2 linked regions of the Mytilus edulis genome follow. The protein of the gene in region 1 interacts with the protein of each later gene in a pairwise test. Links are inferred from orthologs where the notes say so. Each region holds a gene or a part of one and is shown in the gene's direction. Other genes may lie near its edges. The genes, in order: 5'-3' exoribonuclease 2-like and TAR DNA-binding protein 43-like.

The links.
Region 2: the proteins of 5'-3' exoribonuclease 2-like (region 1) and TAR DNA-binding protein 43-like interact in binary tests that used the Homo sapiens proteins (3 or more experiments, as listed by UniProt). The link is inferred for Mytilus edulis from reciprocal best matches to the Homo sapiens genes XRN2 and TARDBP.

The regions. Positions count from the first base shown.
Region 1 is NC_092346.1:72,925,570-72,942,063, reverse strand, and holds the start of 5'-3' exoribonuclease 2-like, read left to right. Parts: upstream 1-10,436; 5' UTR 10,437-10,521; coding exon 10,522-10,596; intron 10,597-16,358; coding exon 16,359-16,486; intron 16,487-16,494. Other genes in the region: uncharacterized protein, read right to left, coding at 1-110, 3,642-3,712, 5,644-5,828, 10,058-10,358. UniProt on the Homo sapiens protein: Possesses 5'->3' exoribonuclease activity. May promote the termination of transcription by RNA polymerase II.
Region 2 is NC_092356.1:48,442,179-48,458,153, reverse strand, and holds the start of TAR DNA-binding protein 43-like, read left to right. Parts: upstream 1-9,601; 5' UTR 9,602-9,756; coding exon 9,757-9,994; intron 9,995-12,151; coding exon 12,152-12,348; intron 12,349-14,173; coding exon 14,174-14,314; intron 14,315-15,975. Other genes in the region: uncharacterized protein, read left to right, coding at 7,360-7,767. UniProt on the Homo sapiens protein: RNA-binding protein that is involved in various steps of RNA biogenesis and processing.

The DNA.
Region 1 (16,494 bases):
GTACAAATCTGTTTGTGTGTAACAATGCCATAAATATTAGGTCCAGTAATTCCTGGTCTACATACTTATTGAACAGATGACCACAAGAATGCACAACACATTCTAAACATCTGAGAAAAAAAATGCAATAGGTCTTAAAATATGCAATGTATGTAGGATATCTGCTTAGCAAATGAAAATTGTAAAATTTGAAATCAACATGTTTACAAAAGATCAAGAAGGTAAATAAGCATCGTTTCCGAATGTTACCCATTTTCTCATATAGATTGAAAAAAACATTTTAAGATTCCCCTCAATAAGAAGGCAGTTAGAAGATATAAGGTTTTTTGATAAATAAAAAAAACATAAGTAGAAAGACCATTTAGAGAATTCTCAAAGCCAATAAACCCCTTTCTTATTTAAAGAATGATAAACTATAAGTTTAGGATGAATAGATCTCTGTAGTGTACATATACTGATAGCTTATTGTGATTCTACATGTAAATTATAAAGGATAAATGTCTCTGGTAAAATAAGATATCCATAACTTTTTTTTTCAGTAAGAAAACTTCCACAAGAAGGTTTCTGACCCAATCAAATATAGTATTCATCATTTGAACTCTAGTGGATAGTTGTCTCATTGGCAATCATACCACATCTCCTTATTTTTATATGTAAGTATATTACAAGGAGAGATACTGTAACTTTCTCCATTTCTATCATAACTATACCAATATTGTGTCTGGACCTGTTTTGCACAATGTTTTGAGGAACAGCCTTCAGTGCTAAAAAGATTGGAAATTCCAATGTGTCATTTGTTTTAGATGCAACAATCAAATACATGAAATTGGTAGTTCCAATGGTAGTATTGGTAGACTAACAAGAGTGCACACGCTGAAATGTCTGGCCTTCTATACTAATCATTGATATTTTGTTGATAGTCCTAAGTATAAAGCTAAGTTTTATTACAACTGTCACATAAACTTAACATTAACCAAGATAACTAAAAAAAGACCAATGAACCTTGAAAATGAGGTCAAGGTCAGATGAACCATGCCAGGCAGACATGTACAGCTAACACTGCTTGCTTCTATACAACATATATAGTTGCAGGGATGGGGTAATCGTAATCTGTAATCGTAATCGATTGTAATTGATTACATTTTTGCAAGTAATCGACAGTAATCTGTAATCGAAGACATTTTCGATTACATGTAATCGTAATTTAATCGATTACAGCAAAAATTATGATGTAATTATCGATTACTTTTCGATTACATTTCGATTACTTTAGTAAAATAGTTTCATGAAATATAGCCTTTTTTTAATGAAAATATGTATGTATTCATCACTTTGTAGTACAGATAAAACAGAATGTATTAATATGACTTAAGAGTTTATCAACTGTCTTTAATTTCTATCTATTGTCTCATCCTGCATTATGATCAACCAGATCCCCTACCCAATTTTACTTTATAACTAGCTTTTGAAACAAATGGATGTATGTGCTTTTCAATAATTCAAGACCTTTTATATATAGAATAAGAATATAGATTTGAAATAAGAAAATAGATTTAAAATAAGAAATATGTCTTAAGTTAAGTTCTGTTCAACATTAAAGTAGTAAGCTTATTTGTATTAAAATTTATTAAAGCATAATTTTTAATAAGAGTTCTGTACAGCATTAGAGTAGTAAGTTCATTTGTATTAAAATTCCTTAAAACACAATTTTCATTAAGAGTTGGGATTTAAGCTCAAAATAGACAAACAGTTGATTCCTTATAAAGTTATGATATATATAAAAATTAACAAAGTACACAAAATCCCTTTGACAATGAACCAATGGCTATCCATTGAAATTCTTTTCAGAAACAGATACATGTATCCCATTTGACACTATAAATATATATTGTTTATAATTTGATTAAAGAATACAAAAATCTGAACAAACTGCTCGTCTTCACTAATCAGATGATCAAAGTCTTCTAATCAATTTTATACAGACTTTGTTTTCATTTCAATTATGTCTAATTAGGAAAGAGATTTACATTATTTTGCCCCAGGTTATATATTGTACTCCATTGGCAGTTTTATAACCTGTAAATAGGGTGGTTATCCAAACAAAAGGATTAATTGAATATAATTATAAATTTTGATCTTTAAAATTAGCTGAACAAATTAATTATTCTACTTTTTTATATTTTTTTTCCATAGAAAACTTTCAACATTGTAATTGCCTATGTTAAAATATACCTATTTTAATGCATAAAAACAAAAAAGCTAACTTACATTTTGTAAGTCAGTACGAAAGCAATTTTTTTTATGTATAATTGATTGATGCAACGTGATGTCATCTCTCATTCATGTTGAAATTCAAAATGTCAAGATTTTTTTTAATATTTCTGATCCTAAGTAAGAGATTCCATCTACAAAACAACTGTCAACTTATATTTTGAAAACAATGCTTTAAATGCTGCATTTGGTAAAGTTCTAAATTTCCACTATACAAACGTTGAGCAACATAATTGTGTTTAAACTTACTTTATAAATTTAAAAAAAAAATTTTTTAGCATGTAAGTGACAGTAATCGAAAAGTAATGTAATTACTTTTAATAAAGTAATCGATTGCAATCGATTACATACAAAAATCTGAGTAATCGATTATTAATCGATTACACAAAAATCCTTCATGTAATCGATTAATAATCGATTACATTTGTCAGTAATCGTGCCCATCCCTGTATAGTTGACCCATTACTAAAAGTTTAAGAAAAATAGACCAAAACACAAAAACTTAACACTGTGTAATGAACCGTGAAAATGAGGAAAAACCTGCACAACTGACATAAAGATCATAAAATATTTCCATACACCAAATATAGTTGACCTATGGCATATAGTATTAGATAAAAAGACCAAAACTCAAAAACTTAACTTTGACCACTGAACCATAAAAATGAGGTCAAGGTCACATGACATCTGCCTGCTGCACCTAACAATCATTTCATACAACAAATATAGTAGCCCTATTGCTTATAGTATCTGAGATATGGATGTGACCACCAAAACTTAACCTTGTTCACTGATCCATGAAATTAGGTCAAGGTCAAGTGAAAACTGTCTGACAGACATTAGGACCTTGCAAGGTACGCACATATCAAATATAGTTATCCTATTACTTATAATAAGAGAGAATTCAACATTACAAAAAATTTGAACTTTTTTTTTCAAGTGGTCACTGAACCATGAAAATGAGGTCAAGGACATTGGACATGTGACTGACGGAAACTTCGTAACATGAAGCATCTATATACAAAGTATGAAGCCTCCAGGTCTTCCACCTTCTAAAATATAAAGCTTTTAAGAAGTGAGCTAACGCTGCCGCCGGATCACTATCCCTATGTCGAGCTTTCTGCAACAAAAGTTGCAGGCTCGACAAAAACCAGATTAATCTTTTAACACTAAAGCCAAATATAAATATTTAACAGACAAGATTTTTGCAGTACCAGGTTGTAAGGTTTTTAGATTAATTGAATACATAAGGGTGGTCTGCAACAAACAGATTACAAGTATATATATATTAACATATGATTCAATTGGGAAGAAATCTTCATACCTATGGTGTTTGGTTTTACCAGGTTTAATTGTACACAAACACTTACTTCATCCATGTCTCTAAAGACTTCCATCCTGCAGTGTCGTGAAATATCTGTGCTGCATCTACATTTATTCTCTATAAAAAAGGTTTAAATTGATCATAATTTATGCCAATGAATATTCAACACACAATTTTAACATTTAAACATTTCTAATGATAAATGATTGATGATTTAAGTATGTTTTTGTATGTACTATATAGAATATATTCAATGTAGTGCAAATTATTTTTAAACAAAATGTTATATTTGTAGAACAAAAATACATACACAATGTATAACATATGCAAAACATTGTCTGTAAACATATTTCTTGCTTCAATTCTAGCAATATGTTAAATCAGCTTAGTCAGCCTTCATTTTTAGCACTTTTAACTAATAATTATAAGAAAGATTAATTTGAGACCACTTAAACTCTTATTTGTAAATGCAGTTGTTAACTTAACAATCTCTTACACCTCAGCACATTATGAACTATTATTATTATTTTATTTTTTCAATTTATGATGGCAATCTTATGAATTAATTATGATACTCATTATTTAGTGATTATTATAACCAAATTCAGTCATCTGTATATAATTAAATATTTCCTTATGTTTTAAGGTGTATATAGTTGCTAAAAATATACCCTTTGTGTAGTGCTCCACAATTAATGGAGGAATATACAAGAAACTGAACTGATTGCTTGGCTTTATGTTCTATCAACGATATAAAAGATTTTAGGACCACGGCAAGTTCATGTGATCTTCACCGATAAACATAGATAAAAGCAGGGAATTTTACTTACAAATGTAAGTATGTCCTGAAACCATGAAAACCATATAGATATAGATTGGTGTACAACCAAAAAGATTGAACTATTGTAATAAATAACATGACCCTTAAATAAATTTTGTAATTTATTTGTATGCTTATTATAACAACTGAATAAACACTGCATGGTGCACCTCAACACAAAGCTAACACAAAATTGCCCTTTTCACCTACAATATTCAATGAGATGTCATAAACTTTGATAATAATATTAATTTTTTTTAACAATTTAAAAAAAAAAACCCACATCAAATGATAAATATCATTAAAAATTCAACCCCAATTATCTAAAAATTATAATGAAATTTGGTTTAAGCAAACTGATCATGCTTATTGTGAGACATGTAGAAAATCAAATAGTATTTTTTTTATGTATACAACATATTGATACCTGATGAAGACATTGTTAAGACTTTAAAGGATGATCTTAGGTAAAATTAGATAAATTAAGAAATCAAAATTGATACTTTAAGCTGGAAGAGTATAAGTTAAGAATCAAAATAAGCTAAAAATATTGATAGGTCATGGAGCTCCTTTTCGAGATATTTGATTTATAAAATAAGGCAGGAAAAGGCTGAGTCTGAGTTTTTACTTTATATTTGCATCAGTATTATTTGGGTCTCAAATCAAAATAATGAAAATCAGGAATCTACTTAAATTTTGTCAAATGACTTTTTTATGAGCTACTAAGTCTTATCTTAAAAGATAAATAGGTGTTATGGGGCAATATATTTTAGCTTCTATTGTATGGAAAAACACCAAGAAGTTCGAACATTTGACACTTATTCCAAAACCTCACCTAAGTACATCCTTAAGATAAACAAATAACAAATGATACAAAACTGTATGTGTCAATCAGAAACTATGTTTTGCATCCACATCAAATTTAGATGTTCAGTGAACCTCAGAATCAGAGTAAAAAATCTAATTTGGCATATATATTTCCAAAAGTTCACATCTATAAAACATGGGTACCGGTACAAACTTTCAAGATGATAGGACCAGAACTTTATGTATACTGCATTAAACATGTTAAACAAAAACTTAACCTTATACAGGACTGACAGATAAAAAGAGGCACACACTTTAAAACATAATGCCCTCCTATGATCATAGACCAGTCATAAAGTATAAAATATACTCAAAGGTCAAAATATACATGTTAGATTGAAAGTTGAGGTAAATATTTCACCTTTTCCCCTCCAGGTGAACTACTCAGTTTTTCCACAAGTTTTTCCACATCATCATCATTTTGATGTTCATCGCCAGTTGGCATTTCTCGTTCTAAATTAGAGCGAATTCCATTCAGAATTTGATCTTTTACATCTCCATAAATTTCTGGACCAATCTTTTTACATAAAGCACCAAGTACTTCACCTTAAATAAATAATAACAAATATATCGATCATGAAAACAACATGTACATGTGTAAGATATATAGAATCATTTTCATAACACAGTTGACAAGACTATTTCAATAAAGAACTTAAAACAATTAATAGAAACAATGAATTTATATTGTATTACCGGTAATATGTATTTAACCAAGGGGATCTATTCAAATAGATTTTAGAAAAGGAGGTACATGTATGACTGCCAATGGGACAACTCTTCATCAATGTCACAATTTGTAATTAACAGCTGCGCCATGAGCGCATGATATGTCCTTTATCTTGTGTGAGAAGTGTTATGCAATAATCATAAATAGTTTCTGAAATACGGTGCAACATGTACAAAAAAACTTTTTTTACAAAAAACTCAGTAACTGTAAAAAATATTTCGAATCATCACTAACAAATATACAGATCTAAAGATTAATATAATATAGAAGTGTGTAAAGTTTAAAGCGATAGTCATTAATGGTTTGTAAGATATGATGCAACATGTGAAAACTCCCCTCTTTTTTACAAACAAGAGTGCACACACTGAAATGTCTTGCCTTCTTTACTAATCATTGATATAATGTTGATAATCCTAAATATAAAGCTTTATACAACTGTTACATAAACTTAACATTAACCTTCCTTTTGTGGTCATAAACCTTGTGTCAAAAGAAAATGCTTATTTGGGCCCTTTTTGGCCACTTATTCCTAAAATGTTGCGACCAAAACTCCCAAAATCAATCCCAACCTTCCTTTTGTGGTCATAAACCTTGTGTTAAAATTTCATAGATTTCTATTCACTTTTAATAAAGTTAGAGTGCGAAAACTAAAAGTATTCGGACGACGACCACGACGCAGACGACGACGCCAACGTGATACCAATATACGACCAAAAAATTTTCAATTTTTGCGGTCGTATAAAAATTTAACCGAGTAACTGTCAATTTAAAGAAGTGTAATTTTTGTCTGAGTGGAAGACAGTGAAGCAATGAGGTACATGTAGACAAAGGTGTTTTCTACATTCAACACAACCCTATTTTGAAACCTTTTTTCCAGTGTACAATTAGCTACATGTACCCCAGCCCAGCATATGTGACACCTTATCTTGTTTCCTAAAGTCTTCTGGTGAACGGAGTTAACCTACATTTTTTACATGTGTATGATCTGTCTTGACTAGTAGATTTCACAAAATGATATATATACAGTGTCAGACACTGCCAATACCCAATACCCATGAGAAAATTTATACCAAGAAAAAAAAGCCTTTATCTTGCAAGTAGGGACAAGACCAAGCAGATATGTTTTGGTCAGGATTTATATCTTTTTGCATATTTGCTTCTTTCAATAAACATGTACATGTAGTACAAATTATGTTTTTATGTAACCTGTTTTATCCTGCAATCAGCCTTGTATTGTACAAATAACAGGTAGACAAACAGGTTGTACAAATAAAGTCTCCTGTTACCCAACTTCCATGTTGAGCAAGTGGTAATGTGGATATTTCATTTTCCATACCAGTTCATTTTGGGGCCCTCTTCACTGTCCCCGTTTACACTATGTTGATTTCTTTGAAAAATTAGAGACCACAATTTATATTTTAATAACTAAAGCTTCAAGTGTTGGGAGTAAGTTTGAGGATAAAAACAATATAAGTACATTGTCGGAAAATATAAATTTTTTGTCCTGTTTCTAAAGCTCATACGAATAAATTTTATATTTTTCCGGCAATGTACATATATTTGTATATGAGAATAACTGCCTGTTAATTTTAGATATAATTGTCATGGCTTTTTACTTATAAGTGTGTGGCTCTGATCTGATCTGGATGTGGTTTAACATCTTAAAATTGAGATGATTATATTTACATTTACATATGATTTATAAAAACATATTTGTCAATTATCAAATCATTGCAATATTTTACTTTGCTCTTTGTGGGCCCTTTATAATTAATGTAGCACAAAACAAAGATTTTTCATCCCCAATCAGACATCTTTAAACTGATGTAATTCCACTCTCCCTTCTTTAAATTTTATAAATGAGGTTCATTTGTACCAAAAGAAAGAAGACAATGGAAGAAGGATTAATCTTTCAAAATGTGATAATTTTATTCTGACATAATTATTACATAAATTGATAATTAATTGTTATGTAATTAGTTGCTATATTGTGATGTCCATACTTGAATGAATTTAACTTATTTGTTATTCATAGCATCCCAAAATATTTTATAGATTCTTGCACAACACAGTTTGACCTCAAAAACCGTGTCTCAGATTTTTACTATTGTATTTCATTCTCTCATAAATCTTCAATGAAGTTTGCAACATCAATTCATTATAAGAGATCACTTAATTCAATAGCTAGGGTATAAAATTTGTTCTATTGATGTTGTTGGAAAACTGAGACATGGTTTTGGAGGTAAAGCTGTGTTGTACAAGAATAGTTATTACTAATACAGTTTACCAATAGTTTAGTATTTACAACATTTATTGATAGGGACGGGTCTCACTAATTAGCGACAACAAGCGTCAAGAAGCGACAAAAAGCGTCAACAAGAATTATTTTAGCGACAACAAGCGACAAGAAGACTATTTAGCGACAAGAAAACATTTTTTTTTTTATTAGATATAAAGAAATTTGTATTTAATGGGTTTTTTTAAATATACAATGTACGAGCAAATATGTCTAATTAAAATGTTTTATTATATAGATAGACGAAGAAATGAAACATTTGTGAGGAAGAAAGAGATTGTGAAGTTTATATTAGTATATTGGTAGATGAAGAAATTTAACATTTGTGAAGAAGAAAGAGATTGAGCTTCTTTTTTTTATTTTTAAATATGAAGAATATGTATAAGATAATGTATGTATCTGTTTTCATCAAAGTCAAAGTATGAATAAACGAATGGAGATATATATGGAGCGGGCATAATGGAATATAATATTTTGATTCATTTGCTTAAAGGAACAACATTAGATGTGGCTTCATTCTAAGGTAATAACAGTACACACAATGTGGAACATCAAATGAGATTAACGAGTTGCGTGTCCCCTGTTTTATTGCTACAATAACATCCAATTAACACCTTCAACCAGAGACATATATGTGTATATATGTCTCTGCTTCAACTTTGTACACGCGTCAGACTAAACAATTACACGCGCCAGAATATACAATCATTGTAAATAGTGAACACCTGTTGAAAACCTGTTGAAAACTCAAGATTGTCATTAATTCCTTTCATCTTCAATCAATATGCATAAACATGATAAATATCGTTTAATGAGGCAATACACATTTCAATTTTCTTTTCCTCCTGTTTGATTTCAGTTCTTTGTATTTCACAATTTGTGTCAATATTTTCAGGACAATGATGCACAAATAATTAATTTTGCGAGCTTAATATATATTGCACGAAAAGAGTTTTAAAAAACAAATTATAAGATAAATAATATGTTCTAAAACACAAGGAGAAGTAATCTCATAATACAATAATTAAACGTAATACTGGCTGTTATTCATAATAGATGATAAAATATTATGTAAGTAATGTTTCATTTTTTTCTATCAATTTTAACTTTCTTGTCGCTAAAATTATTTACTTTTGCATATTCTTTTAATATTTATTGCAATAATTAATTTTAATTAAAAAAAAATGTTTTCTTGTCGCTTGTTGTCGCTAAAATAATTCTTGTTGTCGCTTCTTGTCGCTTGTTGACGCTTGTTGTCGCTAAAATTCTTGTTGTCGCTAATTAGTGAGACCGGATAGGGACTGCTGATATTGATTAGTGGCTTCTTGTGGCACCTTTCCCTTTTTGTAGTCCTTTCAATTCCTGTATAGTTAAGAAGCCATACCAATGAAATACAACTTGGGACCATTATTAAATAAAGGGAAAAATGACCTTTTCGTGTTTGTTAAAAAGTTCGTTTAAAAAATATAGATAATTGATCTCATACAAGTACAAAAATGAAGTATATTATGACTCTTTACTATGCATATAAAAACTCCAGTTTAATTATTTATCGCATACATGTACATAGTGACTATTTCATGTGCATTTCAACATAAATTTCTGATAATTTTACTCAAAAATATATTGTGACTTTTTTTTTCTGCGACTTTTTTTCCTGCGACTTTTTCCGTTTACCACCTGTACACCACAAGACATTTATCACAAGTCATATGATACATTGTCACTGATTTTATGTCATGATCATACCTGCAGCAATTCTTACTCGGAATTCATTGTCATCTAGATGGTCCATGCATTTTCTTTTAATTTCAATTTCAAAATCATCTGAAACGTTTCCGTTTTCCAAAACTGCTTTTGCACCCATAAGACCTCCATGTTTAGATTCCCAAGATAATTCATTGTCATTTAGTAATTTTGACAGATCGAACTGAAGATTATAAATTCCTTCTTCGTCGAGAGATTGAAGATGAGCGACAAAATTTTGATATCCCCTGTCCCGCTCTAATTTTAAAGAACTACACAGTTCTTTCAAGATTGCATTCGACATTTTGTAAACAAAATCGTAAATATTGAGACAGACGTTTTTATTGGATATAATTCTGTGTAATGACTAATCAGAAAAGGTCTTTCTTAAAATAATTGCGGAAATATTGAAAGGTCAAGGCCGATAAATAACAAACCAGCGTGGAAATTTAAATTCAGCCGAAAAAATGGGAGTACCGGCATTTTTTCGCTGGTTAAGTAAAAAGTATCCATCAATTCTACTCCATTGTGTAGAAGAAAAGGTAATACAGATTTTCAATTTGGGTGCATTCTTTCAAAAAAATCTCCATGGGCATGGTATTTTTTGTCTGACTGGAAAAAAAACTAAATTATCTCATTTTCTCTCAATACAGAGTCGGATTCATATATGTATCTCTTAATTTCCGTACCAATTTACATTGCACAAAAAAAGCATTTTACATATTCAGGGACCCCCATTAGTCATAATTACCATTTTTAATGATGGTGCATGAATCCGGGGGAGGGGGGGGGGGGGGGGGGTGCAAGTCAAATCAGCACCCGGTCAATTCGGCACCCATAGAAAAAGTCGAATTGGCATCTGGTTAAATCAGCATCTAGTCAAATTGGCACCTATTTAAAGTCAATTTGGCATCCAATTATATTTGATATAAACTACATTTGTATATATAAACTATTCGAAAAATGTCTAAATGATCTTTCTAATTCTAATAGACATATTACACTTGTATGCAAATTTGTCCGCCATTACATATAATCACACAGGTTCCCGTAAACTTTGACATCATAATTCAACACATTTGACGTCATAACTAAAAAGTGATTGTAGCTTGATGTCAAAGGGTTATTCAGAGGTGATATAAGGTCATTCGGAGGCAAAATACATCTAAATACCAAAAGTGTAAATACGTTTATTATTCTTAGGGTTTTCTCAACATTCTATTTATGACTCGGACTGTTTTGATTAGTTTTCTTTTCAATTAATAAATTTTAAGAATAATTTCACGAATACCTATACAAAAATTACAAGTCTTTGTTGATTAACATGATTAAAGAGTCAATGTCTTGCTAGCATTATTAAAAGAGCTGTAACTCTATATATATATACAAGTAGTTATTGATGGTTTTTTTCTTCAAAAAACAATGTAGCCATTACACAAGATGTTGTTTTATCAGAAAGTCAGAAGTGATAGTGAAAACCATGAGCACTTTTCATTAGTATTACTAATTATCGAAAAATTATACACAATTCTAAGGTCGTTTTGCAGGAAAGTTTAAACAGCATGAAACCAACAATCATGCAGAATATGCTCAACTGGATGAAACATGCATAAAAAATATCTTACACTTTTAATACACTCACATTAGTTAGACCGAAAAAATGGCATACAAAAACTGCCTTAAAATGTAAATTCATCAATATTTTGGCACAACCCCTTCTTTATTTTAATCGTTTTGCTTAGAATATTGCCAACAAATATATATTAATTGATATATATAATATATATTAGACATATTTAACATGGGTGCCAAAATTACTACATCAGGTGCTGATTTAACCAGGTGCCAATTTGACTAGGTGCTGATTTGACATATATATGATATGATCTTTATAATTTTTCTGCCAAATTAAAGATTTTACCTAATTTTCATGGTCCACTGAACAGAAAATGATTGTACAGATGGGAAATCCATGTACTTATGGCACATTCTGGTTTGAAGAAAAAAAATATGTCACAACGATAATGGAACAAAGCAGGCTGGGTTAGTGGGGCTGCTGTTATGGTAATTCAAGTTACCTTTTATTCACCTTCTTCCACCTAAGCGCTATCAGCTCTTTGATTTTTTTTGTGTTGAATAATAATGGTTATCATAGTGTATTGCTATATTTTATTGTTTCATTGTTTCAGATCAAAGGGACCAAGCTGTTAAAAACAATTATCTTTTGTGTTTTTCATTTAAAATCTTCAATGTTTTACTCATACCAAGCTATAAATACATTCAGTATTTCATTTCAATTCCAATTCTTTATTTACCTTAAACAATACAGTTTAACGGTATAATATGCATAAATATACAGTTTACAAGTTGTATAGCATTAACATGCACATAAATAACAAACGTCAGAAATATCAGTTACATATTATACAGTTTGTGAGTTTCAGACTACATATAATAAACATAGGTCTTAAATATTATTCCTGCACTTAAATGCATAGAGTAAGTACTTTCCTAAATTACAGAGTTCCTTAGTGTTTTCAACAGAAAACAATTGTATTAATTTATAAGTTGATGGTCTAGTCCAATAATATTTCTTGATAAACTTTTTACGTATATCATTATAATTTGTACATTGTAAAATAAAATGAAATTCATCCTCTACTACATTTTTATCACACATAATACACATTCTACTATTTCTACTTATTCCATAAAAACGACCAGTTTCAATGCATAGATTATGTGAGGATAGGCGAATTCTCATTATCCATTTACGAGCTATTACAGGAATACATTTTTGTAAATAAAATTGTAATTCTACATTTGACACAATATACTTATATAATCTACACTTTGGTGATGTTTCAAGCATGAAATGCAACTCTTGTTTAGCTTGATCATATATTCGTTGTTTGGTTAATTGTAAAAATGAACTATCCAAACAAAGTACCCATTGGTTGTCCCAATAATAATTCATACCAAGATCATATAAAATTGTTTTAATACAAGTTGCCCAATTTTTACATTTATTGCTATTTGCTACTAGTTCTTTGTAACAAGACTTTATAATACAATTTTCACTACCGTGAATTTTAGTCCATAATTTGAGCATCCTAAAATTTCGCTCATATAACAATGGAAATCTTCCTAATTCATAATAAACCATTACATTAGAAGTGGACCTCTTGACACCTAGTAATGTTTTGCAATAGTCCAAATGAACTTTTTCTACATTTGGTGCTCTATGAACACCCCAAACTTCACAACCATACATTAAAATACTACATACATAAGTGTCAAATAAACTTATAGAAGTAACAGTGTTCAGGTATAAGGATAATGCCTTTTTCCTCATACTAAACATAGCTTTCCTGCCTTGTTCAGCACAGTGGTTTTGAGTAATATAAAATTTACAATTATAATGAAATAACACACCCAGATAACAAAAATGATCTACAATATCTAATGGTTTACCATTATAAATCCATGTCTCAGTAAGACTAATTTTCCCACCTTTACGAAAAACTACTATCTTTGTTTTTTTTGTGTTAACTGAAAGACCCCATTTCTCAGTATAACCAGATAAAGTATTTAACATATTTTGTAAGCCTTGGATTGATTCTGACATCAAAATCATATCATCAGCATACATTAATAAAAAAAGTGTTATGTCCTGAAATTCAAGTCCACAGTTACCATTATTAATAAATTCATTCTCAAAGTCATTGACATAAAATGAAAATAAAATAGGGGAAAGAACTTCCCCTTGCATTAAGCCAAGATTATTAGAAAAGTATTTTGAATTAAACCCATCAAATCTAATACAAGATCTTACATTGTTATACATTGATTTTAAAATATTAAGCAATTTGCCTCTGATTCCTAATTTAGAAATCTTGTACCACAAACATAGACGATCAACTGTATCAAACGCTTTTAAAAAGTCAACAAAGCAACAATATAATCTATTACCTTTACAAAAAGAATTTTGTATGACAGAATATAAACAAAACACAGCATCTACTGTACTGTAACCATTACGAAAACCAAATTGTGCATCAGATAAAATATCGTTCATTGATGCCCATTTTAATAATCTACTATTCAAAATAGTAGTGAATAGTTTACCTAGATTGCTGACTAGACTTATACCACGGTAATTTGCTGGGTCGTTCGCATCCCCGGATTTAAAAACTGGCACTAGAATAGCATCAGACCAAGTGGACGGAAAATATCCAGAGCTCAAAACGGCATTGAAAATAGTACATATATAAGGCAGCACAAGGTCCTTAAACTCAATGAAAAATTCGTTTAACAAACCATCTGGACCATTGCTTTTCTCGCGTTTTAAGTCATGTATAGCTTTAATAAGTTCATCAATGGTTATATCCATATCCAGTTCTTCAAAAATACACACATTATCTGGCATTTCTGGTCTTCTGTTGTGCTCTTTACTATCAGATACTAGAGTTTTGAAATATATAAAAAAATCAGTTACTGTTAGATCACAGTTGACCTTTCTCCTTTTTTTGAATACAGAATAAAATTTCTTAGGATTGTTCTTCCTTAATTTACAAAGGGTATCACCTTCTTGTCGCATATATATACGTCTACGTTTACGTTCATAGTCTTTATATGTCTTCTTCACACGATTTAATTCAATATGGTTTTTCTTTGATTTATTTCCATTAAATATAGATAAAGTTTTGCAGTAATTAACATAAAGTTCTTTACACTGTATATCAAACCAAGGCTTATCAATATGCTTATAGTGCTGCTTATGATTTCGTTTCATTTCAGTACCACTTTTCTGACTTTGTTGAAAAAATGGCGCCATAATGTCAATGAACTGATGGGTAAAATCGTTCACACATGAATCCATTTCATCCTGAGACTCGGCTTCTATATTCTGGAGTGTCGACTTTATATTGTCAGAGTTTATTAAAAGTGCATTACGACACATATCCTTATATTCCTCAGTATTTACACCAAAGCAATTTAAAACAACAATCATGGTTTTCTAATTATTCAACTTAATTTTCAAATTAATTGCATTATCTAAATATGTTTCAGCGATTGCTTATATAAAAATGATAAATTTAGAATTAAAAAATAATTTAAACCCAGTTACAACGAAAAAAATTGAGAAGGCAAACACATGCTTTATTATTGACTTAGACCACTGGCATCAGTCTTTTTAAACGAGTTCAAAATAAGACATAAAGAGAATATAATTTCATGCCAACAACATGAGTACATCAATTATCGATAATATTGAATTACTTAACAAGTTTAAAAGTAAATTCATGGAGTATTAACTGCAGCTGAGGATAATTCTTTGTGTAATTCAGAATTTATTTTGTAGTTTACAATAAATTTGATACATCTGTTTTTCCAGTTTACATTCAGAATTGAAAGATGTCTGTTAAGACTTTTGCAAATGCGAGACATAGCTATCCTACATTTCTTTAGTGTTGGGGTAATCCACAAATATTATTATACCCCCGCTTTAAAAAAAGGGGGGTATACTGTTTTACCTCTGTCTGTCAGTCCGTCAGTCCGTCCGTCAGTCAGTCCGTCCCATGAAACTTTCGTCACATTTTTCTCAGGAACTACACATCCACCCTTTCTGTAATTTGGTATCAACATTTATATATGTCAGCCATACCGTGTGATGCGTTTTCAGATTCATCACTTGACAACTTCCTGTTTACTGAACACTTGTCTGATTTTACACATGATAGCCAAGTTGAAAATTTTCGTCACATTTTTCTCAGGAACTACAATACAAGGATTTCTGAAATTTGGTTTCAGGATTTATATAAGTCAGCTATACCGTGTGATGCGTTTTCAGATTCATCACTCGACAACTTCCTGTTTACTGAACACTTGCATATTTTTACACTATTAATATTATCCACTTGCGGCAGGGGTATCATCAGTGAGCAGTAGCTCGCAGTTTCACTTGTTATTTCTGTGTTTAAAGTTTTTGAAATTTTAATAACTTTCTTAAACTATCATTGATTTGTACCAAACTTGGATAGAAGCTTGTTTAAGATCACAAGCTTGCATCTAGAAGGATATTTGGTACAAATTTATTTCATTTTTTTCTGTATGACCTATGGAGACATACATGTAGTTGCTGACCTTCAACATCATTTGTGGTAAAGGGTTGTTTCATTTACTATCATACCAGATCTTCTATTATTGATATAAACCTTGCAACTGGATAGTCAATGTTATAGCTTGAATTCTACTATAATACATGTAATTAGAAAGTTATTCTTTATTATTATCATTTAAGCCAAAAGAAGTTGGAGATGAAACAATTCCTGTGGACACGAGTCAACCTAACCCCAATGATTATGAGTTTGACAATTTGTACCTGGATATGAATGGTATTATCCATCCATGTTGTCACCCAGAAGACAAGTAAGTAC
Region 2 (15,975 bases), on another chromosome or scaffold:
ATTCTTTCAGAGGTTAACTCTGGTAAATAAGGTAGATTATAATTATTTATTAATTTAAATAATACTAGAACACACCCGCGAAATCGCGGGCATATATAGCTTGTAAACTGTTGTAGAATGAATTTTTGTAAACGATATGATGTCTGGAGAATTTCATATAAGATATTAAAAGCCCTCCGTCCTTTTTTCAAAAGTCCGTTATTTGTTCCCTTTCTGTTTAATTCAATTATTTTCGTGTTTCTGGCCTTATACCACAATTATTCCTCCCCTTTGCTACAATGCATTTTTTGGTAAAAGTCAAATTAAATTAAAAATTTGCACCGCTTCAAACATGAAATAAATGAAACTGCTTATAGACCATTATTATTGTATTAAAATATGCTTCTAGGACAATTTATCAGTGCTTCTCCTTTTGAGAGCCATATCAACATGCCAATGGTAGGATTTGAATCTTGCATACATGACTAAGGCTAATTTGAGGGGTGGTCGGAGGGGCCCTGATCCCAAGATCCCGGGCTTAAAAACATGAAACCCCGCGGTGCGTATTTTAACGAAATTCATATCCCGGCATCCGGAAATTCGGAAAAATATTCCCGGATCCCGTAAGGATCAATCCCGAAATCCCGATCCCGATGTCCCGAAAAAGTCCCGCCTCCCTCTAATCTCTACCCTATTTTCATTTTGGCCAAATTACTACTTTCACTTTCAACAATAATTTTGTATGCCCCATTTATGGGCATTATGTTTTCTAGTCTGTGCGTCCGTTCGTTCGTTCGTCCGTCCGTCCGGCTGTCCCTTTTCAGGTTAAAGTTTTGTCGAAGTAGTTTTTGATGAAGTTGAAGTCCAATCAACTCGAAACTTAGTAAATATGTTTCCTATGATATGATCTTTCACGGTCCACTGAACATAGAAAATGATAGTGCCGATGTTGCATCCGTATACTATGAACACATTCTTGTGTCACACATGTTTAACTTAGGCAGCAACCATTTGATTTTCGGGGGGGGGGGGGGGGGGGGTATGGATATTTTTTGGAAAAAAACGTTTGTTTCTAGTTTTTGGAGAAAAAAATAATCTGTTTTTGACCCTGAGAAAAAAATTGTTTTGTCCGAAAAAAAAATTCCATAGCTGTCCCCCGCCCCCCCCCCCCCCCCCCCAGAAAATCAAATGGTTGCTGCCCCTTATTCAATATATAATTAAGCAACTGGTATGACCCCTTAGATAATAAATATCTAAAAGAAAACAGTAGACAAAATACAGAGAGTCTCTAAATACTATAGTAGTATAATCGCAGTTTACATGTGGATAAACGCGAAAAATAATTGTCTCTAAAGAGGTATAATAGTTGTGTTTCTTGCGACCTTAAAACCATGATATGGAGAACGCTCTGATTGGCTTATTTATTTTTCATTTTTGTAATCTGTATGTACGATTGGTTGTTTTTGTGTATGTTCTTAAAGTCTTTTCCATGACTAAAAGTCAGTCTGATGACGGAAACCGTCAATATCCGGAAACCTATTTTGTCGTTTTTCTCCCAAAATAACTCAATCTGAATAATCATAAGAATGAATGACAAATGCGACTATACATGTTACCTATAGAACACAGAGTTATGGTGATTAATTTATTGTGGAAGGAAGAGAAGCGATACACAAAATAAGGTCTTCTCGTTTAATAGTATAGATTATGAAGTGCCTGTCATAGATAAATCCATGCAAAGTCATCCAGAACCAAGGTTACACGATCTTCTTCATATTCTGTTACAAGGAATGTTTAGTCATGTAATGATTTCAGAAGGAAAAAAAAACAAAAAGTTCAAGGATTTACATTATGAAGGCAGGGCTGTTACTAAAAATAGAAATAGATAAAAGGTTAAAAATACGCTATGTTTGATAAAATAGGTCTCTTATATCCATTAAATGAACATTTTGTAGGCATTCTAGTACGATTTTATCAAAATTATGAACCAATATGGTACTTATGATTCAGAGATGGGTCCGATTACTTTCAATGTAATTGATTAAATTACAATTACTTTGTCATTTGTACGATTAAATTAAATCAATGATTACATCATTTCTGTAAGTATCCGATTAAATTAATGATTACATTTGCAAAGTAATCATGATTACATCTGATTACAATGAATTAAAAAAACATTTTGAATGAGGTTAATGAATTATAACTTAAAATTTCATCTATTTAATAAATCTCAAAAGTTCACTACATACACTGACATATATACACGAAAATTGTGTCACTGGTCATATTGGTTATGACTAATTACACTTTATCATCATTGATCTCTGAATTATGTCGACTTAAATTAAATAAAGGTTTATAAAGAGTTAGCTGTTTGTTTACTTTCCTCTTCCAGACTTTATATGTATTTCAAGATGAGTTTATGGAAGTTAAAATATAGATGAAATAAAGCTACCAAGTCAAAATTTTAATATGATTATTTAGTCAAATTGTAAACAAATTATGAGTACTAAAAATCATTGCATTTTTCATGTCCAGTCCAAATACATACTAACATCTATTATAGATGTATAGATATATAGGTGAAAGACCAGAAGAAAGACTTTGCAAATTTTGCACTGCAGACGTGTCAGAAACTGAAACTCATTTTTTACTAGACTGTACATTCTATTCTGATATACGAGAACATGTTTTTGGTGAACTTTTGTTAACGACTTCCTTTGTTTCTATGAACATTAATGAAAAACTTATTTTTTTAAATATTAGCCATACTCGAAAACTAGCCAAATACATTGTACAGGCATATTCTAATAGACGAAATTTTGTTTACAAATAGCTTAATATCTATATATTTTTATTTTAAAATTAATTAAAGGTTAACTTTCGTCAACAAAAAGATAATTTCATGAATTATAATTTGTTATTTTGAAGAACGTGATATATTGTTTTAAAATTACTTAATTTCATTTGAGGTGACTTACAGGTCCATTGGGCCGGGTGTATTAATATTTATCATATATTGTATATTTATAATCTGTACATATTTACACATGTCACTATAATAAATAATTTACTTACTTACTTACTTACTTACTTACTTACTCTATTTATTTTAAACAACATTTTAATTTGGTTTGTGCTAATTAGATAAATTTCCAAATGTATAATTATCTTTTATCATATATATTGCCCTACAGCTATACACAATAGAGTTGATAATTGCAATAAAAACAAACCTTAATTGATCTCCTACCTGTCAATTCAAAGTTGACAAAAATCACAATATTTACAAAAGATTATAATTCAGGGTTAATGAAAAATATCACTTGAATATAACAATAACTATCAAATGTATTTATGTACATCTTTAAATTGTGAATATATGTACAATATCTTGTATTAGGGTCAGAGACATATATGTTTCTGCTAAGGCTAATGATGACTTTTCAACACTGCGAGAGCTTAGTTTTTACTGAATTATACAAATCAATTAACATGCTTAAAGAAGACAAAACTATTTCAACATGTTAAATAATCATTTAATTTGAATACCTACAAGGTTAATTTATCAAACACAGTTTTAGATTTTTTGCATTGTAATCAGAATGTAATCAAAAAGTAATCAGGATTACAGGGTATTTTGAAAAGTAATTGATTAAATTAAATTACATGTAATCAGATTTAGGGCTGATTAATGATTACAATGATTACTTGAAAAATTGTAATCAATAACAGCTGATTAATGATTACAATTACAATTACCCCAACTCTGTTATGATTATGCTATTGTTGACCTCTCAAATTTACTTAAAGTTAAAGTGCAGAAAGGTCACCAAAAGGTCAAATTTAAAAAAAAAATGCAAAAATTCAGTATTTCAAAGTTTTCCCAGGAATAGCGAGGATATTTATTTCAAATTTTGTCTTTTAACTATTTTTTTTAGCTTTATTTACAAAATATGAAGAAGAAAAAAATGTCTCCATGAATTTTATTCATCTTTCAACGTGCAGACAGATGTACTTCTATGTTAAATCTTGCATGCCCATTATTTTGTATCAATTCGCGTTGTTTTCCTTTTTTGTTCCTCTTAATTATGTCCCAGTCACACTAAACCACGATCGCACCACGTTCACCGCGATCAAAAATAAATTCAGATCGTAGTGAGGTCGCGGTATGAGCGGCATGAAAATGTAGATTTTCGTTGTTTTCACGATGCTACTTCGTCCTCATTACGCTTCTTCAACGAGCCCGATACGATTATACCCCGTTCTACATGTTCTAACCATGTTCATTCTGCGACCTCACTACGATTATCACGATCTTACTACGCTCATCACGTTCTCACAGCGACCATACCACGATTTATCCGATTATAACATGATCTTACCACGCTTCTTCTGCGATTATATTACGCTCTTACCACGATCATTCTACGATCTTACCACGTTCATACCGCGATCCAACTACGCTATTAGCAATATGTTCCATATAAATACTGTTCCATTCCTTCCAATTGTCATTAATACGTAAAATTATTGAAAACCACACGAGCATGCCACCAACATCTACAAGGAGTAGTGGGCGTGGTGGTAGGGGTAGTGGTGGAGTCAAAGGGGCCTCTCATACGAACCATGATCCAATAGAGATGTCGGATCAACCAATCGAGACCTGAATCACAACGTATTGCTGATCCATCATTCAAGATCAAATGACGATATTGTATTGAACATTAGTGGGAATGATACAGATGTGTCAAGAATGATTGAATGAGCTGTTGAAAATTAGAGACATAAGGTCCAAATTACATAACAGACAAACAAAACATGGATAGCTGTTATATAGTTTAAGTGAAAATGACTATGAGCATGGCTAGAACTGGAAACGTTCGTAGTATGAACGTAGTCAGGTCGTAAGACGAGCATTGCGGATGAGGACGGCATGAGCGTGCTAAAACCGTACTATGGTCTTGAACAGCGTAGTATATACGTGGTATAGTCGTAGTAGTAGTATATGCGTGGTATAGTCGTAGTAGTAGAAGCGTTGTTGGGTCGCGGGGAGAACTTGATGGTCGTATTGAGGTCGTCGTCACATCGCTGTGAGATCGTAGCGCAATCATCTCTCTGATTAGAATCGCGCTTTCGCTACGCTCCCATCACGATGGTACAGCGACCATTGCGATCTTACTACCACCTTACTGCGCTCTCGCTACGCTTCTACTACAACCCGATTTCACCACGATTGTTTTGAACATGTTCAAAGTTGGCCACGATCATCACGATCATAAAGAGGATAAAGACCTCACCATGACCGTAACACGACCTTACTGCGATCTACATTATCGCACTACGATCGTCAAAATTTGCATTTTTTAGAGATCGTAGTGCGATCGTGGCTAAAGCTAGGTTCTCATTGGCAATCATACCACATCTTCTTTTTTTATATTTACAAATTTATATCTATATGACACTACTGGTCTAACGTCAAAGTACTCAAGTGCATCGAGTACACTTATTGCACCTAGTCAACAAAAAATAGCTGCGGAAATCCTACATTTGTCTAACAGTTCAGTTCAGTTCAGTTGCTTGTATATTCCTTCATTAATTGTGGAGCACTACCCAAAAGGTATAGTTTTAGCAACTATGTACACCTTAAAACATAAGGAAACATTTAATTATATACAGATGACTGAATTTGGTTATAATAATCACTAAATAATAAATATCATAATTAATTCATAGGGTTGTCATCATAAAGTTTAAAAAAAATATATTAAATTCATATGTGCTGGGGTGTAAGAAAACGTTAAGTAACAACTGCATATATTTACAAATAAGAATTAAAATGGTCTCGTATTAAACTTACTTATAATTATTAGTTAAGAGTGCTATACATATATCAGGATCTATAATGAAAATGTCATTTTATAAGATTTATGTAAAATGGTTGGGGTTTGGAAAAAATTAAAGCTATAATATATACATAAATTTTCTTCCCAGTTTGATTTACTATATGGAGATCTTATCATTATTTTTGAAATTATAACTGATATCTTGCAATTTTTAAAAAGAGAAGATATATTTTTAAATACTTATAAGTCATAATTTATTTATCCAAATAAAGCTTCAGGACCAGACAATCTAAAACCAAGAATACTAAAAGAACTTGCAACCGAGATAGCCCAAATTCTAACTATCATCTTTACAACATCACTTTAATACTGGGGAGGTACCATCTGACTGGAAGAACGCCAACGTAAGTCCAGTCTTCAAGAAAGGAGAGAGATACAAGGCAGAGAATTATCGACCAATATCTCTGACATGCATCTGCTATAAACTCATGGAACACATAATAACTAGTCATATTATGAAACATGCAGATATCCACAACATTCTTTATCCATTACAACACGGATTTCGTAGCAAAAGATCATGCGAAACCAAGCTGATTGAATTTGTGGATGACATCACAAAAAACATGAGCGCATGAAAGCAAACGGATGTTCTCATTATGGACTTTTCGAAAGCCTTTGATAAGGTTGGTCACAGTCTCCTGATGCATTAGCTGGAACACTATGGTATCCGAGGAAATGTAAATAAGTGGATCACTAGTTTCCTGTCTAATAGAACCCAAGTAGACAGTAGTTGTGGATGGAGAAAGTTCATCTCGTATTGATGTAGAGTCAGGAGTACCCCAAGGCTCAGTACTTGGGCCTTCATTATTCCTGGTCTACATTAACGACATGGCAGATGGAATTAAATCTACAGTCCGACTATTTGCAGAAAACACAATAGCATACCTCACGATATCATCAGACAAAGATGCACATGATTTACAGCTAGATCTGGACAAACTTGGAACATGGGAATCAAAATGGAAAATGTCATTCCACCCTGACAAATGCAATGTACTTACCATCAGCAGGAAAAACAACACAATTGCAACTTCATACAGCCTACATGGTCAAATTATTGAGTCAGTCAGTAGTGCAAAATACCTAGGCTGCACATTTACCATGTTTACATCCGATCTCAGATGGAATGAACATGTGAATAACATTTGAAACAAGGCAAATCATGCCAAGAAATCCTCGCTAAAAATTCCGGTCGACCCCCTACGGCAGTCATTAGTAGCTAAAGATTTGATTTCATTCAAGAAATTAATGTATAACCTTCATGTACGTGTCGCTAAGAACATGGCCATATACCAAATGGTCAAAATTAATCATCCATGTAATTTGCTCTATGGGGTGTTTGCAGAATTTCAACGGAGGCGCGAACAATTGGTTTCCTAAAAAGAAATTTAAATATAGGATCAACTACAGTGAAGGAGAATGCATATAAAACATTGGTACGTCCAATTGTAGAATATGCCAGTCCGGTATGGGATCCATATATCTCAAGACAGAGACTGACAGACTTGAGATGGTACAAAGAAGAGCAGCTCGCTACGTATCCAACAAACATCATAACCACTCCAGCGTTAATCTGATGCTACAACATCTCAAATGGACATCACTTGAACAAAGAAGGAAAGAAGCGAGACTCACAATGCTATTCAAAATAGAAAACAACAAAGTGGCCATATCAAAGGAAGGTCGTCTAATACCACTGAAAAGACTATCACGAAACATGCATGACAAATCCTTCCAAGTACCAGCAGCATCATGTGATTATAGGAAACACTCATTCTTCCGAAGAACCATCCGGGATTGGAACGCTCTTCCCCCTGGGGTCGTATCAGCTCCGTCAGTCGAGGCCTTTAAAGCCTCGATGACAAAGCTGAATTAAATTTCAAAATTTTTGGGGGAGGGGTGGTCTAATATGCGCACCAAACCATGGCAGTATAATCAGTTCGTTAAATGTGGCCATTATCTGACAGAAGCAGAAGCAGAAGCAGAAGTCATAAAATATTAAGATGATATACTATAAGTAAGGAACTATTTTATTTTAAAAAATTTACTTATACTGTACTTGTGATCAAGTTTTTTTTAATCCTTTTTGTGCGCAGCAAGTGCATCTCATAACACATATTTCTAGCCAGAGTTTCAATGTTTTCATAACAAGTTTTCTTTGAGAGAAACAGTTTGTATTTTTTATGATTTGACATTATGCATGTACACGTCTTTAACCATAGGTACATACATTTTTACATACATGTATATGTAAATATACACAAAATGTTCACAGTATATATGTACACTACAGTATCAACAGATGAAGCATTTACTGGAAAATGCGATGTTCACAAAGTCATCTTTTAAGAATGAGCAAATACAATATTTTCCAAGCATCTATTTCCAGAAAAATAAATATTAAGCCTGGACTAATGTCAAATTGTTCTAAATATATGAAGAAAAATGACAAAACATCTTTTATTCGATTTTAATTGGTGTGAATTTAAGCATGGATGCAATTTAGGTACTCTAGATCTTCGTCACAGAATCATTGATCGCTTATGTTGTAGGTCGATTCAAACTAGTTTTGCTACGATTCAATATCTCGAGTTCAATATATCATATCAGGAACATATAGATATACTGTTCCCAGATCATATATATATATTATTTTTACACCTTATACATTATGTATCAGTATTGTTAAAACTTGTGACACTTGAAGAAGGCCATTTGTTGAGCCGAAATATTTGTCAGCACGATTTAATAACAACATTTTCGTATTATAACATCTTATATCAGTACGGTTGTGCAAATCTTTAGACTGATATATATATATCATGTACTGTAGTACGCCGCTAGATTAAAACTGACGTGGAAAGGTAACACATGCCCACCGAAAGCTCTTTTTTTTGAGAGCCCAGGTGGTCGTGTGGTCTAGCGGGACGGCTGCAGTGCAGGCGATTTGGTGTCACGATATCACAGTAGCATGGGTTCGAATCCCGGCGAGGGAAGAACCAAAAATTTGCGAAAGCAAATTTACAGATCTAACATTGTTGGGTTGATGTTTAGACGAGTTGTATATATATATATATATATAGATTCAAAATTTAAACATGTTATTAAAATGGTGACTGGTGTAATATAAAGTAAATAAGGATATGTCTACCAAATAATAATAATAATAAAAAATCAGATTGGAAACTTTTTTGTGGACTTTAAATAAAAAAATGTAGGTGCAAAAATGTCAAAATAAGGTGCAATTTGAGTACCCTAATGTAATCTAGTATCATAAAGAGTTCAATGAGGTTTTACATTTAAACTCTGTAAAATCAATTAAGTACTAATTAAATAGCAAATAACTTATATCTCAATGAAAAGACTTATATGCAAGAAAAATTAAAATCGACTGTCCAATAAGAAATTAAAACAGGACGCAAACCAAAAGAATTTGTATTGGATATGCGCATGTTTATGCCATACCCTCCCCCTATTCACTGATTTGCAAGAACAAAGCATTACTGTCAATATCTTTTATGTTATTAAAAATGTTAACCACAAATTGTCAACATCTGCACTAATCAAGTATTCATTAAAAGATCTGAAAGTCACAGATTGAGAAGGAATCTTTAGATAGAACTATAGAAAAATTTCTAAAAGATTCCAGCGACAACCGATTGAAGATAAAAGAACGACAACTCTAAAATGAAAATTAAATTTTTTAGGTCACTAAAAGATGGCGCTAGTATCGCTTAAATTGTCAACAGAAGACGCCATCTTGGTACGCCGCGCACCTTCAGTTCGGGACCACAGTGGGTTACCCCAAAATTAGAGACATTTTTGATTCTCAATGCTCCGAAAGTGTGTCTAATTTATAAGGGAAATGAGTCAGTATATTCAAGTCGCAGAGGAGGAGGGCGAAGAGCCTATGGAAGTCCCGAGCGAAGACGACGGAACTCTCTTGCTGTCTACCCTGTCAGCTCAGTTTCCTGGTGCCTGTGGTTTAAAATACAGAAATCCCGATACCGGTGCTATGCGAGGCATAAGACTTTCAGACGGGAGATTATATCCACCTGATACGGAATGGGCAAACCGGATTTATGTTGCCGTGTTTCCTAAATGTAAGTGTTTTCAAATATTGTTTACAAACTGGAACCCAGTTGGCCTCCGAACATCAAGCAGACGCTTCGACAAAATCATTTAATTTTTCGAATTTTTCACAGAATTTTGATTAGTTAAGTATGCAGTATGATGCAGTAATCATTATTGTACATAACTGCATAGGTATTTTTGGCTACAGTATCAATTTATATGCTACTTTTAATAAAATATTGAAGGTCGTTGAAAACTTTGTGTTTGACAGCTAAGGGAGATAACCGTATTGTTGACGTTTTGCTTTTAAATATTTCAGTCTATATCTCTGTGGGATTTTTGTTTCTGGTCTATTTATTTATTCAATATTTTGATATGAATACTTCCTGAGCTAACTTAGTATAAAGGTGACTCCAGAATCCCTTATTTTAGTTAAGCTTTAAAATCATAACATGACAACATAACATCATGAACATATTGAAGACACTTAAAAAAGTAATTTAAGAAGTAAAAAGTTACACACTCATGTAAATGTTGAAATATCTGTATTTAATTTAGGTTAAAGGCAGATATTTAGTGTTAACATGTACATGTAGCTGCTTCTTAGAAGTGTACACTTTTACATCATAATTTCTTGACAGTTTATTCATCATTATTTAAACACTGCAAAAGTTGCTTTCAATACACACAAGGTCACTGGTGCATACCATGTATACATTTATATTTTAATAATTTATATTCAGGTATGAAGGTGGATATTAGAGTGGGTCTCATTGGGGTCTAAGCGTGACCCGGGATTGCCGATTTTTTGTAAGCGTGACACGTGAAAGTCAAATAATTGTGGCGTGAAAACGGGAAATTAGGTCTTGCGGGACACGGGAAATGACAAAAAAATGAGAATTGCTTATGTACATAGTGTAAGCGGGATACGGGAATCTGACAAAACAGTAAGCGGGATCCGGGATCGGAACCCCCCAATGAGACCCCCATTAGACTGCAGATTATTATATCAGAAATGTGTCTTGACCATGTTGACTGCCACTAGTTATTATAGATTATATTTTATAATTATTATTATATACTACATGTACAATGTACATAACAAATGTATAATAAATTTTAATACTGTTTTGTGGGTTCGAGATGTTGAATTTTCAGTACATTAGTAGGGTGATTTTTACCCTCCCACACACATCTCTGGTATCCATTCCAGACCGGAGTTTAAACTAGATTGGATACTTGGGGGGGGGGGGCCTCGGTAGGTCAAAGTTGTTCCCAGCTTGACCTGGAGATCAATCTTCTGAAATCTCTTCAGGTTGTCTGTTGCTGCAGAGAAGCCCTGTGGTTCTCTCCAAATACTTCAGCTTCCTCCACCATAATAACAGACTTTTAGGTGACCTACAAGCTCCCTTGGGTGGTGTTGGGGTGGAGATTGTTCTGGTGGTGGGTTAATAATGTAATCTAAAAGGACACATCTCCATTAATCCTTAGGGAGTGTACATGGATCCGCTGTACCCTTGTAGTCATTCAAGGGGTGCGTCTACACTGGCGGAATCTCGAAGTACATATATACATGTACATGTTATTACCAGATAATTAGAGATATGATTATAGTAGAAAAAGATTTAAAGAATATGATACACATGTATATTAACATGATTTATATAAACAACATTTCAGTGTATATGTTTCGAATATGTTACAAAAACAATGTAGCTTATAGTTTTGTCATATTTTAACATGTGTAAGGTGATAAAAGCATTGATCCTCATTTTATTATTATACAAAAGTCTTGTTATTTGTAAAAATCTAATCACTGTTCAAATTTTGCATTTTCCTGAAAAACTAAGATGTCTCCACAGTCTTTACACCTAACCACTGGCCCAGCAGCCTAGGCTTGTTAAGTTGCATTTGGGTCTTTAAAAATGATCTCTGACTACAGGCCAACTAAACCGATATAAAGTTTTAAAAAGATTGAACTTTGAAGTGTTTGACATGACTGAGATCAATGCAGAGACTCAGAGGTTACTGTATTTTTCTGCCATGTCAATTCTCTGTGACATGGCCGGGATTATTATGCTCTATGTACAATGTATGCAAATAGTAACTGCAACACTTTTCATAGATATCTGTAGGGGTAATGTTTCAAGGTAAAATTGCAAGTAAATATTTTCATGTATTTTCAGCTGAAAACAAAAAGAAACCTCATGCAACAGCTGTGGACCAGGAACCAATCAATGCAGACAATGCTGTCATTAACAGGAAGAAAATGTATGACAAAAAGAGATGCAGTGACCTTATTGTCCTAGGATTACCATGGAAAAGTACAGAAGAAGACCTGAGAAAATATTTTTCAAATTTTGGGGAACTGTTAATGGTCCAGGTTTGTACATTAAGTGTTTAAAACTTATATTCAGAACAGAATACTAGTTAGGTTTTCCTGTCAATTATAAACAATTATCTTAATGTATATTACATGTATGATTGCAGCTTTTTGTGTCTAGCAAGTGAATGAATGATGTGATGGAGAACATTTTTTGTTAAATGAATCGTAAATTAAAGGACCAATTGATGACAGCATCGAGAACAAACACAGCTGATCTCAAGCATTTAATCCTTATATTTGTACATGTACATGTCGCAAATATGAAATTACAAATTAAACCAATCTGCAGGTTTCACTTTGCATACTAACAAATGTATACATTTGTAGATCTTCTAAAATAATCAAGTGTAAAAGTTTAAGGTAGCACAATACAAAGATTTTATAACTCCAACTCCCAAGTTTCAAAATGCTGTAACTTTCTTAATAATGCTTGAAAATTTATAAAAGTGGTAGTTTTGGATAGCTAACAGATTACTCTTTCAAATTAATGCAATGTTAGTATCATGCAACAATTATGTAACCAATTATAATGTTAACTGTGTCTTAAATATTTTTCACCAAATTTCCACTTTCAAATGAAATTAGCTTCTGCATAGGTATCCCTAGAGGGTTGATTTTATTATATGTTGTTCCTATGGCCATTATCTACAAAAGGGTGTCTCAGATTTCAGATAGAATGTATAGAACAAATTTTACACCTACTTAAACATTATCTTCATTTATGTGGTTAGGATGTTTACACTAATTAGAGATTTATGAGAGAATGGAATACCATAGAGACAATCTGAGACACCCTTTTGAAGCCCATGATGTGTTGATTAAGATTTCGTTAAAATTTTCTGTATAGTTAAAGAGATGATAGAGCTAAATTCATTCAAGTGAACTTACCCAGATTTTGCCACTAATTACATAATAATTGATGACATAATGATTGCATAATAAAAATATTGCATTCATTTAAAAGATTAATCTTTTATCTATCTATGTATACCTCTTTTATTATTTTCTATGCATTCATAAGAAAGTTACAGCATTTCAAAGGTTAGTGATTGGAAGTAAAAAAATCTTTGTATTGTGCTACCTTAATTCAGGATAAAATAATATACAGATATATACATTGTATGTCATGTACATGTATGTTTATTGTCTGAAAATATTAAAAATTGTACACTAGCTACATTGTATAAAACAACAGAAACGCTTGGAGAGCTTTGTTTTTCGTTCCGTTCCTTGTATATTTACATGCTAGTAGGACAAACTTTACTATATTTGATAAATAACATGTTCTGTATAGATTTTATTATTTAATTATATTATTACCGGTATGAGCATAATGAGAGATTATACTTGTGTTTATGATATCAAAACATTAAAAAGCATGAACAAGTTATTCCGTGAAAGTTAAGTTTTGTAGTACATGTATCATAGTATGTACACATGAATACCATTATTGACTTGTCTAGTAAAACATCTTTTTGGTTATGTCAAAAAGTTTGATGCAGTTGAGTTCATTTCCACAATGATAAAGCTTCTTTGAACAAGGGAGATAATAGAGTTATTGTAACAAGGGAGATAACTCTTGATCTTTCTGTGTTTTTAAAGCATTAGAAATCTGTCATATATTCCTCTTCAGGCGGCAGACAGCAAAAAACTTACACTGTATAACGGTACTTAAATTTCCAAAATATTTAGACATTTATGTGTATGTGGAACATAACAGATGCAAATAATGTGTAAGCTTCCCCCTAAAACAGAAATCAAAATTCATTATATATTTTACAATTCATTGTATTAATCTATCTATATTTTATTTTCAATTCAGGTGAAGAAAGATCCTAAAAGTGGACTATCTAAAGGTTTTGGTTTCATTCGGTTTGGCGACTATGAATCCCAAGTTAAATGTATGACACAGAGGCACATGATTGATGGAAGATGGTGTGATGTTAGAATACCAAACTCTAAGGTAACACATACATGCACTGACACTGGTGTGATGTTAGAATACCAAACTCTAAGGTAACACATACATGCACTGACACTGGTGTGATGTTACATGTAGAATACCAAACTCTAAGGTAACACATACATGCACTGACACTGGTGTGATGTTAGAATACCAAACTGTAAGGTAACACATACATGCACTGACACTGGTGTGATGTTAGAATACCAAACTCCAAGGTAACACATACATGCACTTACACTGGTGTGATGGTTCTGTGCTTATTTCTAGGAATGATAAAGTTTAATAATGGCATGCTGTGAGTTAAATATGTGGAAATGTATATCTAAATACTGGTGTTTTAATCAAGATATATTTAATCAACAAATATTAATTCTATTGAAATTGGTCACGTCTATTTCAGTTGGTTTTGTTTGATAACTTGATAACTATATCTAAGTAACCATCTGTAACAAAATCCAAACTAAGAATTCAACATAAATAATGTATCAATAAAGCATTTAGAACTTTATTTGTTTACTTGTAGTGTTCATATAAAAAAAAAAAGGAAAAACTTGATTGCGTCAAGAAATTTCCTACTTTGTATTAATTTGGAAAATCTTTATTATCTCCCTTTAACAACATGTAAGAAAAAAATGCTACTATCATATAAAATTTATTCAATGTAGATTTTCATTTGAAATTTGAAAAATTAAAGGACTGTGCTTACATTGCACATCAGAAGTCTTCTTGCGAAAAGTTATCTGACTTATTTCATCTGCAAATACTATTCGGAAGACAGCAAATTTTGAGCACTTTTTGTAAGAATTTTAAAGTCCAAGGTACAATGTAGAACCAAAACAATTAGAGAATCTGATTCCTGATAGGTTTTGTGAAAAATAGTTTATTGCAGAGTACTCTGATAATAAAATGCATTCATATTAGCCTGATTAGATAAATTAATAGTCATGATATTATTAAGAAAGAATGGCCAACACTAGTAGCATGAAAATAACACAGGATTCATCTTTTACATGCATATGACAGTTGCTGAACTGAGATAGCTACACTTTAATGAAAAACGTTGTTTTCAAGCTAGTGATTTTAAATCTATTTATAATGACACTAAATGCAACAAATCTTCTGGGAAGGGGAGGTAATATTTTTTTTTTTAAATATTGGTATTTAAAATGTAGATGATTTTGTTAAGGGTTCATTTAGGGCAAACTGTTGTTGTTATGATACTATTTTGATTTGATTTGTCTGTTTGCTGTTCACTTTGTGAAAGTTGTTGTGTTTTATTTCTAAAGTAAGAAGTCTAATTTGCACTATTTATATAAAGTGTTTTTGTGACCATGGATGATGATAAAAAAAAACCCAGCTATGACTTGTTTTAACATGTGTGTTTGCAAATTTGCTGATGACATACAACCATAAACCTTCTATGTATGTACAAACGCTAATGAAAGTTTTACATTTAAAACAACAGTTCTAAGAACATCATGATGAAAACTATTGAAGAAAAAGAAAAGCCCTAATTTTTGGGAACAGGCAATTTATAACACACTTTACTATTTTTGGGGCTACAATATTAATGATCTTTCTCCTGTATGTATAAGAAGTTGATTGAAATATAGATGAAACAATAAACTGAATATGACAGCAAACTTTTAACATTTTTT